Linked DNA regions of Arabidopsis thaliana. The protein of the gene in region 1 purifies or fractionates together with the protein of each later gene. This does not show direct contact. Each region holds a gene or a part of one and is shown on either strand. Other genes may lie near its edges.

The links.
Region 2: the proteins of AT3G55070 (region 1) and RanBPM purify together in Arabidopsis thaliana (affinity purification with mass spectrometry; 2 studies listed by BioGRID, with this or other methods). This does not show direct contact.

The regions. Positions count from the first base shown.
Region 1 is NC_003074.8:20,406,060-20,411,935, forward strand, and holds AT3G55070 (LisH/CRA/RING-U-box domains-containing protein), read left to right. Parts: upstream 1-2,214; 5' UTR 2,215-2,317; coding exon 2,318-2,638; intron 2,639-2,999; coding exon 3,000-3,194; intron 3,195-3,368; coding exon 3,369-3,491; intron 3,492-3,635; coding exon 3,636-3,830; intron 3,831-4,100; coding exon 4,101-4,234; coding exon of another isoform or gene 4,235-4,238; exon of another isoform or gene 4,239-4,376; coding exon 4,377-4,563; intron 4,564-4,726; coding exon 4,727-4,828; 3' UTR 4,829-5,305; downstream 5,306-5,876. Other genes in the region: AT3G55060 (CAP-gly domain linker), read right to left, coding at 1-163; AT3G55080 (SET domain-containing protein), read right to left, coding at 5,417-5,566, 5,656-5,804.
Region 2 is NC_003070.9:13,050,644-13,057,261, forward strand, and holds RanBPM (SPla/RYanodine receptor (SPRY) domain-containing protein), read right to left. Parts: upstream 4,451-6,618; 5' UTR 4,280-4,450; coding exon 3,888-4,279; intron 3,453-3,887; coding exon 3,306-3,452; intron 3,164-3,305; coding exon 3,077-3,163; intron 2,983-3,076; coding exon 2,937-2,982; intron 2,595-2,936; coding exon 2,518-2,594; intron 2,395-2,517; coding exon 2,232-2,394; intron 2,081-2,231; coding exon 2,012-2,080; intron 1,925-2,011; coding exon 1,865-1,924; intron 1,493-1,864; coding exon 1,406-1,492; intron 1,269-1,405; coding exon 993-1,268; 3' UTR 514-992; downstream 1-513.

The DNA.
Region 1 (5,876 bases):
GAGCTAGACCACCAGAAACTTGACCATGTGACTTAGGACTATCGAACTCTTGTTCAGCCTGACTACTAGCTTGGGTTCTCATCTTACTATCCGCTTCTTTTTCGCAGTTAACTTGTTTATCATTTCCATTACCAGAAGATCTGAAAAAGAAGAGCTTTTTCATTGTTTTCTCCAATCAAAAGGTGCTATAACAACTGCAGCTGCAATCAAAACATATAGAAGCAAATCAATAGATTGTAAGATATCTCCTGCACTAAACTAGGAAAAGTTCACATTTTGCAGCAAATTAGTTCATGTCAATCTCCAAAAAAAGTGCTCCAAGTGAATCTTACAAACAATTTGCTCGATGAAAGATAAACCAGTTCAACAAAAGAAATGAGAAAAAACAGCATAAATGATCTTAGACTCGAGATAATCAACTATAACTCTACTCAGAGATTCAGAAACTCAAGACTTATCATAGTAAACATCGAGCCAAGGCCTAAAATAAAAGACCAGACTACCCTAAGCATCTTCAAAGCTACGATAAACCCTAGAGACTAATCAAATCACAAATCGAACCTAAATCCTACTTGCGGAGAAGTTGATGAAGATTATGTTCGGCGAGATTACTCGAACACTAACAAAATCTAGAAAGGCTCTCTCTTTAAACGATCTCAATCGATTTCGTCGCCAGAAAATCCAACTCTACTCTCTCTACTCTCTTCTAATAGTTGGAAAATTGAAAGAAAAAGGAAAAAAAAACACTGAGAGGCGACAGCTTTTTATGACGACACAATTGGCTTTAAAGAAAACCAAAGAAACACAGAGAAAAATTTTAAAATTTCAAAAGGGAAGATCTTTAGAATTTATGAACATACCATAAAACAGCGATTTTGCAAATCGAAAATTCGAATGGAGAAGAAACTGAAACGCAGATTTAATAACAGCGCTAGATAACGTGGATTTGATCTAAAGGGAGAAGTGCAAGAAGTGTGAGAGTGTCTCGTTGACGACGAAGAATCCAAAAGAACAAAACGGCTCCAAAAATCTTTATTGGCGGTGTGATAATGTAAATAGAGTATCCAGTGAAGGGTATTTCTGGTAACCTTTTTAAATCTTTCATTGCGCGGCGGATAGAGCCATTTGGACTTTTGGAGGAGCGGGGCTACAATTATTTGTTTTTCACTAACAACACATAACAGTGATCAATAACAACATTGGAAAAACTTGTAAATTACAAATTAAATGTAGGGTATTTAGTTGTTTTAAGATAAGTATAATAAAATATATAGGTTTGAGTGATATGAGGTAATTATGATACAGTTTTGAAGTGATAACGATAAGAATTGTTGGTATGATACCGTTTTTGTTGTTGATAAGCTTTGAGACCGGGAAGGTGTATGTATACCACCATACCTAATACTATAAATTACCAACTACGCTCATAATCAATTATATAATTATAAATTTGGTATAAAAGTCGAGAAATCTAACAAAAATGATAAGGTTATTTCTCAATTTACTTTCATGCTTTATTTTTCTTCTTTATGTTTGGCAATAGCACCTAGTATTTAAACAATACATATAGTATTTCGACACATAGTTGCCCGTAATAAATTGAAATAATATAAAAGAGAAGTAATGCGTTATTTTAGATAGAAATCTGACATCATATATTTATAATTATATTTTCTATAAATAAAATATTATCTATATATAGTTTTTTTACACTTGGAATTATATATTGACCACACATCATGTGTTAAATTTTTTTTTTTTTTTTTTTTTTGCATTGATACTTTGGCCATATTTTAGTTTTACTCATAACATATTAGGTATAATCACGATCAGTCCTAATATTTTGAAAGCCCAAAAAAAAAAAGACTTTATTTTGAGATATTTTTTCACAAGGTAAATTTAATTTCAGTAAAAAAAGGGTTTTTAATAATTAAAAATATCTGTATATTAATATTTTGTATAGACTAGTTATATATTAATCAAAAATTGGGAATCCTAGACTATTTTTGTTTCATCAACTGGACCTGGTACTGGATCAAACGTTGCTGCAAACTAAAATGACAAAGCCCAAAAATCAAAACATACTCTCGGTTAGGGATTAGATCAGACCGGACGGTTTCCTACCTTTTCAAACGCTGTCGTTTTGAACTATAGAGTACCACAAACCAACGACGCCGTTTCACTTGGCACTATTTATTTCTTCTGTAGTTTTTTTTCTTCTCATACATATATCAATCAATCAAGATCACCACCACAAGGCAAAATCTAAACTCTCTCTGCAAAATTTCTGCTAACTTCTTCCTCCCATTTTCTTGCCATGGAAATCGATTCCGCCACCAACGGAAACTCTGACACCGTCATGACGGAATCCGCCGCTACGATCACTCCGTCGCCGGTCGTCGTCTCGTCTTCGAGATCGAATCAATTTACGGAATCTCTCAAGCTTGAGCACCAGCTCCTCCGCGTTCCTTTCGAGCATTACAAGAAGACGATCCGTACCAATCACCGTTCTTTCGAGAAAGAGGTCTCAACCATTGTTAACGGCGTCGGAGAATTGGCTGATTCCGATTGGTCTAAAGACGATACCGTTTCGCGTCTTACTTGCCTTGTTACTCGATTACAAGGCCTCAAACGAAAGGTTGATTTTTCCGTCTCTCTCCCTCTGTGATCGGTGTTTTAAATTATGTAGACGAAACTGAATCAATTAATTTAGCGATTAAAGTTTCTGATTTTGCTAAATGATATCCACTTATCTGTAAAAAATTTGATCTTCGATGTTGAAGATCAAAGTAAAGTATCTGTCTTTGGCAATTATGTCTCACTAGACATTGGATCTCGATGAATTCAATGTAGTGGTGGAGTTGGTTCATTGGAACTTCCCATCTGACTATTTGCATTGTCTTCTAAATTTTTATCATTTGGGATAGTTTCTATATCTTCTGGAGTAACATCACATGGATATGGCCTGGCTTACGTATTTTTTTGGTTTTGTATCTCAGTTGGAAGAAGGGAGCAATGTGGAGAATTTGCAAGCCCAGAGATGTCGTGCTCGCATCGATCATTTGGATTCAGTAGATGTGGAAAATATTACTGAATGGAATAATACCAAACTGAAACGGATTCTTGTAGACTACATGCTGCGGATGTCATATTTCGAGACTGCTACAAAGCTTTCGGAAAGCAGCAATATTATGGTTTCTCTCATCCTCTTGACACTCATTATATCACACTATTATGCTATATTGCTGTCTTGGTTAATATATCAGAACATATTCTTTGCTGTTTCGTTTTTACAAGCAGTGAAACAGATTTGTTGATTTGTACTGCATCTCTATGAAATGCTAATTATAAATATCTCATCTTTTCAGGACCTTGTCGACATTGACATATTTCGAGAAGCTAAGAAGGTGATTGATGCCCTTAAAAATAGGGAGGTAGCTTCTGCATTGACATGGTGTGCTGATAACAAAACGCGGTTGAAAAAGTCAAAGGTACGTGCTCTATGTACTCTCATGGTTAAGTTTTACTTTCATTTTTTATGAACTCCATGTGGTTTGGCTAAAGTATCCAATTTTTTACCAGAACTCTATGTATAATTGTTCATTGCTAATTATATATTTTCCTTTTCATAACAGAGCAAATTTGAGTTCCAACTAAGGCTGCAAGAATTCATCGAGTTGGTACGAGTTGATACAGCTGAGAGCTACAAAAAAGCAATCCAGTATGCTCGAAAGCATCTGGCATCATGGGGAACAACCCATATGAAAGAATTGCAGCATGTTCTGGCCACTTTGGCTTTTAAAAGTACCACAGAATGCTCAAAATATAAGGTGAAGTTTTCCTTCTTTTGATTATATAACTGTTGAAAATTGACGCTTCAACTTGTATCTTTTCCTAATGATTGATTTTGTCTGAAATGGCCCAAAAACGTGGATATAGATTTCACTGTTTCTTTCATACACCAGGCTGCTTCAGTAATCTTTTTCGTCTTTGTTTATTGCCGAATTAGTTGTGTTACTTTCAACTCTTGTCGAATCTTAATTGATCATTGCATGTATTTAGGCTAATCAACTAACAGATATGTTTTTCTTTTTTCTCAGGTTTTGTTTGAACTACGACAGTGGGATGTTTTAGTTGATCAGTTTAAACAAGAATTTTGCAAGTTATATGGCATGACGATGGAACCCTTATTGAACATCTACTTACAGGCAGGCTTGTCTGCGCTGAAAACTCCGTAACGATCAAACTCTATCAAAATTGATGTTTTTGATTGTCTATTTTCTGCATCTGATAAAGGGGCAGAAAGTAAGTTTTCGAAATGACACCCTAATGTGATTCTTACTGGTGGGTTGCGTTTGTACCTTGATATGACTCAGATATGGTTTAGAAGAAGGTTGTACCAAAGAGGACCCTCTCTCACAAGAGAACTTTCGGAAGCTAGCTTTGCCTTTACCGTTCTCCAAGCAGCACCATTCAAAGCTTGTTTGCTATATTTCTAAGGAGCTAATGGACACAGAGAACCCACCACAGGTGCTGCCCAATGGCTACGTCTACAGCACCAAGGTTTGATTCTGTTCTTGTACAACTTCAGCTTCTCTGTTCTTTTTCTCTTTTTAGAATCTTTTTCTATTAGCTTGATCAGTTACATCAGTCTATCCTATACAGTTCAAAAAATTTAAAGTTGGGTTACTTTTTTTATTTATTTGATGGGTAAATGAACTTGCAGGCTCTCAAGGAAATGGCGGAAAAGAATGGAGGTAAAATAACATGTCCAAGGACAGGGCTTGTCTGCAACTACACGGAGTTAGTTAAGGCATATATATCATGAACCCATATGCTCATAATCCTCACTTTGGTCACCTTTTCAATGGATGACTGGGAGGACAGTATTAAGGCCAAAGAAACTGAAATTTCCAACTTTCTCCATTACTCTTTGTGAATATGCACTTGCAGATAAAACTTTGCATCACTTTAGAAACAGCTCGTTCCTTTGTATATCAAGCCATTTCTTCATTTCAGTCTTATGACAATTTTCTAGTCAACATGGTTTTAGTGGAAACATGTTTGGCTGCTTTGCTCTGATATTTTTATTCATGTTTTTCTTCTTATCCACTAGTAGTTTCTGTATAAATCAACCGGCAAAGTACACTTTATTGTCCCACTACCATTTCACAAACCACAGTTCCGATTCTACTATCAGTTTCCTCACTTGAGGTGTATAATTTGGTTCTGTCTGGTTTCATCTATTTGGATACCATCCTGATTCAACATGTTCATCATTTCTCTTTTGTTTGTTGGCTTCGGAAATGGAACGAGGTATAATTCCGGATTAAGAAATAGAGTAACACTAATCTTTTTATTCACTCCAATATCTCAATTTATTGGTATATTGCTATCGTAGAGACTGTAAAATCGATTACATTGTCTCTGAAAGCAAGGTTGTGCAATAATGATTGAGCCATTCAGCTGCAGATCTCAGTACACGAAGCTCACCGTATAGGAGATCTCTTGCCATCTGCCTTCTAACAGCAAATCTTTGTGATACAAAATAGCATTCTTCCATTTCCTGCAAAGGCACCCACCAATAAACGTTTTTCAAAACCTACATTGTCAGTCATTGTGTGGAAATTAGTTGAGTAAAGCGTTCTATAGTACCTTGATGCAAACACTATGATCCTCAATCAATCTGTTGATGTGAGACAAGAGGATCTTATGTGCCTCCAACTCTCTGTTCCCGTCTTTAAAAGGAAGCCGAGCTAGTCGGCCATCATTTTGTGCAGCTTCTTTTGACAAATCATTTAGCTCTGAGAATCAACTATACTGTTAATACTTTTGGAATTAGCCTCGCAAGATGATAAAAGAGAGTGACTAATTTG
Region 2 (6,618 bases), on another chromosome or scaffold:
CAATTGCGTGTAGTAAAAAAAAAAGCGAAAGGCAGCAACAACTATGAACGTACCAGAGAGTTTAGACACTCAACAGGTAAGGAGACAAAAGCTGGAATCAAACAGGTGACAGCTTTAGTCGATGGATTTCTGCAATCAATTGTTTGCTCAAGTTATTGCCTCCTATAGTCGTTGAGTATCTACACCCTCTGATATATTTGAGGTTATTGCCACCTTCAACCAAAGCATGAGAAAAATATATATGTTCAACACTCGGTATGTTTAACTATTTATAGCCAAACTTTCATTTTTTCTTGCTTTCGCATCCGATGTGGGACTCATTGCCTTTTTTCACGTGGGTTTTTAATCACAAAAGCATTGGATGAAGCTAAATATGATCAATATAGACTCTATTTACATTAGTTATTGGGCTTTTATTGGATAGGTCAAATTTCATATTTACTATTATTTTGAAAATGTGAAAATTGTAATTATAATTATTAAATTTACATTTTAAACAAGAATTTGTTTTTTCTCGATTGTTTAAAACTGATTATAATTTACAATAATATTTATTTACCATCATAACATTTATACATCGTCACATGAAATTATGAAAAGAAAATAAAAAATTAAAGATTCTCTTCATAAAAATTTCTGTTTACCATAAAATCTCTTTTTGAGAATAATTTCAGGTAACCCCAAGCGAACAAAAGTTACAAAACCCGAAAGATACCGCTAAACCCGAACACCCCCACCGCTAATTCAGTTTTTCCATTTCTGATTTGAATGTTGAAAATCTTAATTTGAATCATCTAAACTTTAAAGAACCAATAACAGTGGAAGTCCCAGTGTCTTAACGTCGAACCCATTTTTCTAACTTTCTCCTTTACATAATGGAAAGTTCAACATAATATCACACAAGTAATGAACAAAAGCCACTTATGATGATAACGACCATAGAAAAACAGAGTTTTCAAAATATATGCGCGGCTAAGCCATTTTCATCTTCTTTATCTGTTGTTGTTAAGAACATGTCGAAGCCGGAATGTTTCACCTTGGTCTCCATTCAGTGACCGCCTTTCTAAACAGCACACGGTTAACTGTCTTAGCAGTTTCTCTAGATGGGATTGCAAGTGACAGCTTCTCTGCACATCTTTCTTATTTGGATTTGTTGATAGTATTGCTGCATTCACCGCATCAGCCACTAATTCCCTCTGTGAGTCTTCTAGGAAATACCAGACCGATGATTCCTCAGGCTTTTCATACGCGAGCAAAGCAAAGCAGTCCTGAATAATCAACAAGAAAATAGAGTTCCTAAGCGAAGCAGCAACATATATAGTCTCTGTATCTGAACGCAATACATACATATTCTCAGAAACCAGATCTTGCTTGAAAGAAAAAGGAGTAAAGGAGACATTGGTACCTCGACTATATCTTGAAATCCAGTTAACCCAACAAATTTAGCTAACTCGAGTCTGCCATAGTTCACACCTTCTTCAAGTTTTCCAACCTGTTTATGCCATGTTTTTCCAAAACCATATAGTTAGAGAAATAGCCCCATCTGCATAGATGTGAAAGTGAACAAAGAAGGAATAATCCAGAGAACTAACTTAAGGTGATATTTATACACGGTGACAAGGTTCCATGCATCTATGTAACATGGTTTCCAGTGTGTTATAGGTTCTGTGCATTTTTTCACTAGTTTATGGTTTAACACCAAAGTCCATCACACAGTTCAAGCAGCTAATTTTTGTATGAGACACCAAATCCATCAAAAGCTTCCTTAATTACAAAAATTTTATTCTTATATGCACAGAGAGAGAATATTTCTGACAAGTATTAAGAACACGAAATTTAGATGGTTAAGGAATGAAGAGCATACCCGTACTAATTCAATAAACTTTTGACAGTGAAGGAGGAAGCAAACTACAGATTTATCGTCCTGCAGTAGGTACAGCCGGGTAAGACTTCGTATCACAATCCTGTGAAGTGGATCATCTCAACAATATGATAAGAAATCTCAGTTCACCTGTACAATTTGGGGATACAACTTTTGGAGTTCCGCCAAAGCAGTATCAATCTCACCATTCCTAACAAGCTACACCCAATAAAGAATGAATCAGTCCAAATTCACTAACGAAGCAGTAATTTAGTATGGGTTTGAATAGGAACCAAAAAAAGCCAGATACAAGCCTAATAAAGTTAGAAGATAACATGTCTTATATGTTAAACCGTAGCAAGTTCAATACCTGTCTAAGATTCTTTCTCTGTTTCAAAGCATAGGATGAATCATCCTCGTCAATAGCATTTTCTTGATCTATATGAATTGGAGGAACTGTATTTTTAGTAGCAAGGTTGAAAGCATCGAGTGTCTCCTCATACCCATAGTGTAGCAGGTAGGTCTTGACAAGCCTAATGATAAAGAAAACAAAATTATAGATAAAGCAGAAAGCTAGTCCAGAAGGGAAACCAAGTATTGCAATTCAAAGTTAAAAAAGTACATGATCTGTTACTGCTGGGAAGGAGTGTACTCACCCATAACCAATGTTTGGAGGTATGGATATTTTTTCAATAGCCAATTGTTGCTTATTCCTCTCTGATGCTTCATATCCCTAATAATACAGAAAGAGGGAAACAGCCCTCGTCAATTACTTAATTTCAAACATATATGTAATGGAAAGAATTTTTATGCCCTACTTCAGTGTTTAAAGATTATAACTTGAGTGCCCAAGAGTTTGAGGTTTGATTACACAGGAACAGTAAAATAGCAAATGTGAGAGCAATGTCTACAAAGAGAACCACTGCTATAGATTCGGTAACCCCAGTACCAAGAACGGACATGAGGCATACCTATTATGTGATTTCAATAGCAGTAGTCCTGGTTACACCATCCTTACTTTAGTATAAAGCTATGAGACCTAATTAACCACGTTTGAAAGGATTTTTCCTCTTACCTTAATATCGAAAGCAAATTTCTTCTTCCCAAAATTGACTAATACCCTGCCAAAATTTCAGAAAAATATGCTTTGTGTAAGAGAGAGTGAGATACATGATGGCAATGGTATTGATCTTTAAAGAGAGAGTGAGAACATACTCCTCATTTTGGCTATGTACAGCTACAGTAGGGAATAGATGACCTCTTATGTCCTTGGGGATTTTCCCAACAATAGTTCCGTTTTTACTGGCACCAACAAAAATAATCAAAAATGTCATCAGCTTTAACAGACAAAGAGTAACAGGAAAATGAATGAATCATGAATTCAACTCACAGTAGTAATGAACTTATTTAAGTACCAAAAAACATGAAACAGTTTCTTTCTTACGTGAAAAAGAACTCCTGAGAAGCGTAGTTTATACCACCGCCAACTGCATCATCTTTTGTAAACTTTGGACCAAAAGGTTCACCTTTTCCCTGTCCACGATATAGGTATCCATCATCCCCATGATATCCACAGCTGTTCACTTCCCATCTACCATTACAAAAGAAAACTATAACCTCAAATTCAAGTATTAGGCAGATAAAGCTTCTTTCAAAGGCACTATCATCCATATTTGTAAACTCAAGAACCTAGCTTTCAAATAAACCACAAAGCAATGTCCTTCGAATTTCAGATTCTTCCCTAAACCACTTCTACACAACTGAACTCACCAGAAAGAACACACACAACCTAATCCAAGAAGCTAAATCTCTATAATAACTAAACCACAACTTGGATCCCAAAACCATACCACAAACCTCAATTTCTAAAATAAACCATACCTTAAACACAACAATGATCAAGCTACAAGCTAAAACTATACTTCTTGAACTAAATCCTTCAAATTCAGATTCTTCCCTAAACAACTTCAACACACAATGATCAACAAAGATTGGATCCAAAATCCAAAGATAAAGAAAACAATACCCAGGTTGTCTACGCATTTTGAAGCTTTCCTTAGTAAAACCAATAGCAATTTGTCCTTTAATACCAGAATCTTTAACAAAAATCTCAAAGTAGTAAGTAAGACACTTGATCGGAGCAGGTTTATTAGCTTGAACAACACCAACATCGTGACCATGTAGATTCGTATTCGTGTACTTCACGGAAAGCTTATCAGGAGAAACCACAAGAAATCCGCCGGCGCTATTGATCGTATTCAACTCCGTCGGTAATTCTTCTCCTTCGTCTTCCTTCGCATCTCGTTTAGCGGAGAGACGAATCTTGTCTAAGAAGTTTAAGTTCAGATCTTGACCGTTCTCGCCGTTGTTGGTTGTATCGCCGTTGGCGGAATTCGCCGGTGGTGGTGAAGAGTTCATTGGTTTTGGTTCCGATTAGAGAAAACCCTAGAAATTTTGAGATTAGGCTCTTCAGAGGTTTTTGGAGTCTATAAGAAGAAGAACACTGAATTAGAGAATTTGTTGAGATTTCTTCTTCTCTTTGATTTATTTTTTGATCCGTTGTTTATTTTTGTGACCCGCTAGTTTCGGTATTTGTTAGACTTATTTTTTTCTTATATATATTTCTCTATATAAATTTCATAAATAATATTTAGTTATATACCAATTAGTTGGCTGTTTCAATTCATAAAAAAACACAAACTTTTTTATAAAATGTAAAATTAATCCATGTTTTATCAAATTTAATTCATACACACTTTTAAAATGTAAAATCAAATCCATGTTTTTATCAAATGTGATTCATAAAGACTTTTAATATCAAAAGTGGTTTTATTACCAAAACAAAACTTAAAATAAAAAATATTTCAAAAACAAAAGAGAAAAAACAAAAGTTTCATGGCACACTTGATTTTTCCGATCTTGAACCTTCTACTCTCGAACTACTTGTAGTCTTTCGAGTATCTCCATGGTTAAACTCATTGGTATCTTCTGTGGTACCTACAATTTACAATGAAATTTAATTAATATAATTCAATTACCTATAAAGCTTTCAATTTAAAACTCTTACCTTCATAGTCAACAAACTTGCGTAGCCAATTGCGAGTACAAAGCAAACATGAACATTTTCTGGAAGCAAGCGATTTCTATATGGAGTCAAAACCCTCGATCCAATGCTAAAAGCTGAGTTTGATGCTACTTTAGTAATAGGAATGCTAAGGACATCGCATGTCATAGAAGCTAAACCGCCAAATCGATTCTGATTATCTTTCCAATAGCTTAAGACATCCAAATTTCGAAAAAGACTTTCACTCTCATCCAAATAAATATCCAAGTGTGTCTTTGTGTTGTTCACACCGTCTTCAATACTTCTTTCTAGTTCAAATAGATCTTATGTTACAAAAACTCACATTAAGTTAATTCACCAAGTTCCAACTTTATACAATATCATCAAATTCTTCTCGAGCCCTTTAATTTTTAACTTATAAGTAGTAGAATTTACTTTCTTTTAAGCTACTTCAAGCATCTTCAATTTAAGCTTCGGATCCAAAACTGCTCTCATAGCCAAAATGAGACTATAATCTTCCCAATACTCGGAAAATTTACCATGCATCTCTTGAGCCACTTGCTCAACAACATCATCATCACAAATAGCATACTTCTTCAGCAACAACTCAATCCTCCATATTTGTGTAAAGTATACATTGGATGTGGGATACTTAGAGCCTAAAAAGTAAGTGATAATAACACTAAAAGGTTTCAATAGATCAAAAATTTATCATTGGTATCAAAAGCTTTCATGCTAACAAACGCTTCTCTAAACTTCAACGCTCTAGCAAGCATTTCATCTTTCTACATGCCATGTTCATATTCCGAACAAAAAAATTGCATTCAAACGATTAAAAGAAAGAAAAAAAATTGGTATGCCCGAATTTTTTGTTGAATAATTACAAACTTTATTTTTGCATTCGAACTTATTTTTCCCCAAAATTGCTAAATCAAAGAAGCATCAGAACAATGAAGTTTATATGTGATATGTTTGTCTTTTGTTTTGATTGAATTTCTTCTTCATTCTTTTTTTGCATTATTGAAAATTATCAAACATTATTTCAATTTTAGAGGTTTGAAAATCTAAAGGTAAACTAGATAAGGATCCACGATGTGCAGCGTGAGGAAATATTTGTGGCAATTTTGGTTTGATAGTTTACATCATAAATCATAATCATAATATTTTCTATTTAATAAAATTTATTTTGTAATTTTCTGTATTTAATTTATTGTGTCATACTCCAATATAATTCCGCAATTGGATCAGTAAATTCGATAATCCTACGCTAATCCACCCAATGTTAAAATCCGTTGGATCATACTCTATGTTTTTGTAATCTATTTTGGATCTATACTCTATGTTCTTGTTTTTTTATAAAGAAAGAAAATGAATCAAATACTGAATGAGTTAAAACAATAGCAGACATACATATAAAATAGTGTGCACATTGAAGTGCTGCTAAATTTTTTAAAATCTTAAATATATTGTAGAGATTGTTAGGTTTAGGAGTCAATTTTAAATCTTCAAGATATGAAAAATTCTTGCAAATCAAGTTTAGTTCAAAATATATGAAAATTGTATTCTAAATTATTGAATGTAAAATATAGTGAAAATGGTTTGCATATATTTTAGGGAGATTTACAAAACTACCATTTTTTACTATCCTTTTGCAACAGTACCCTTTTATATTGTTCATTTTTAAAAATATCCC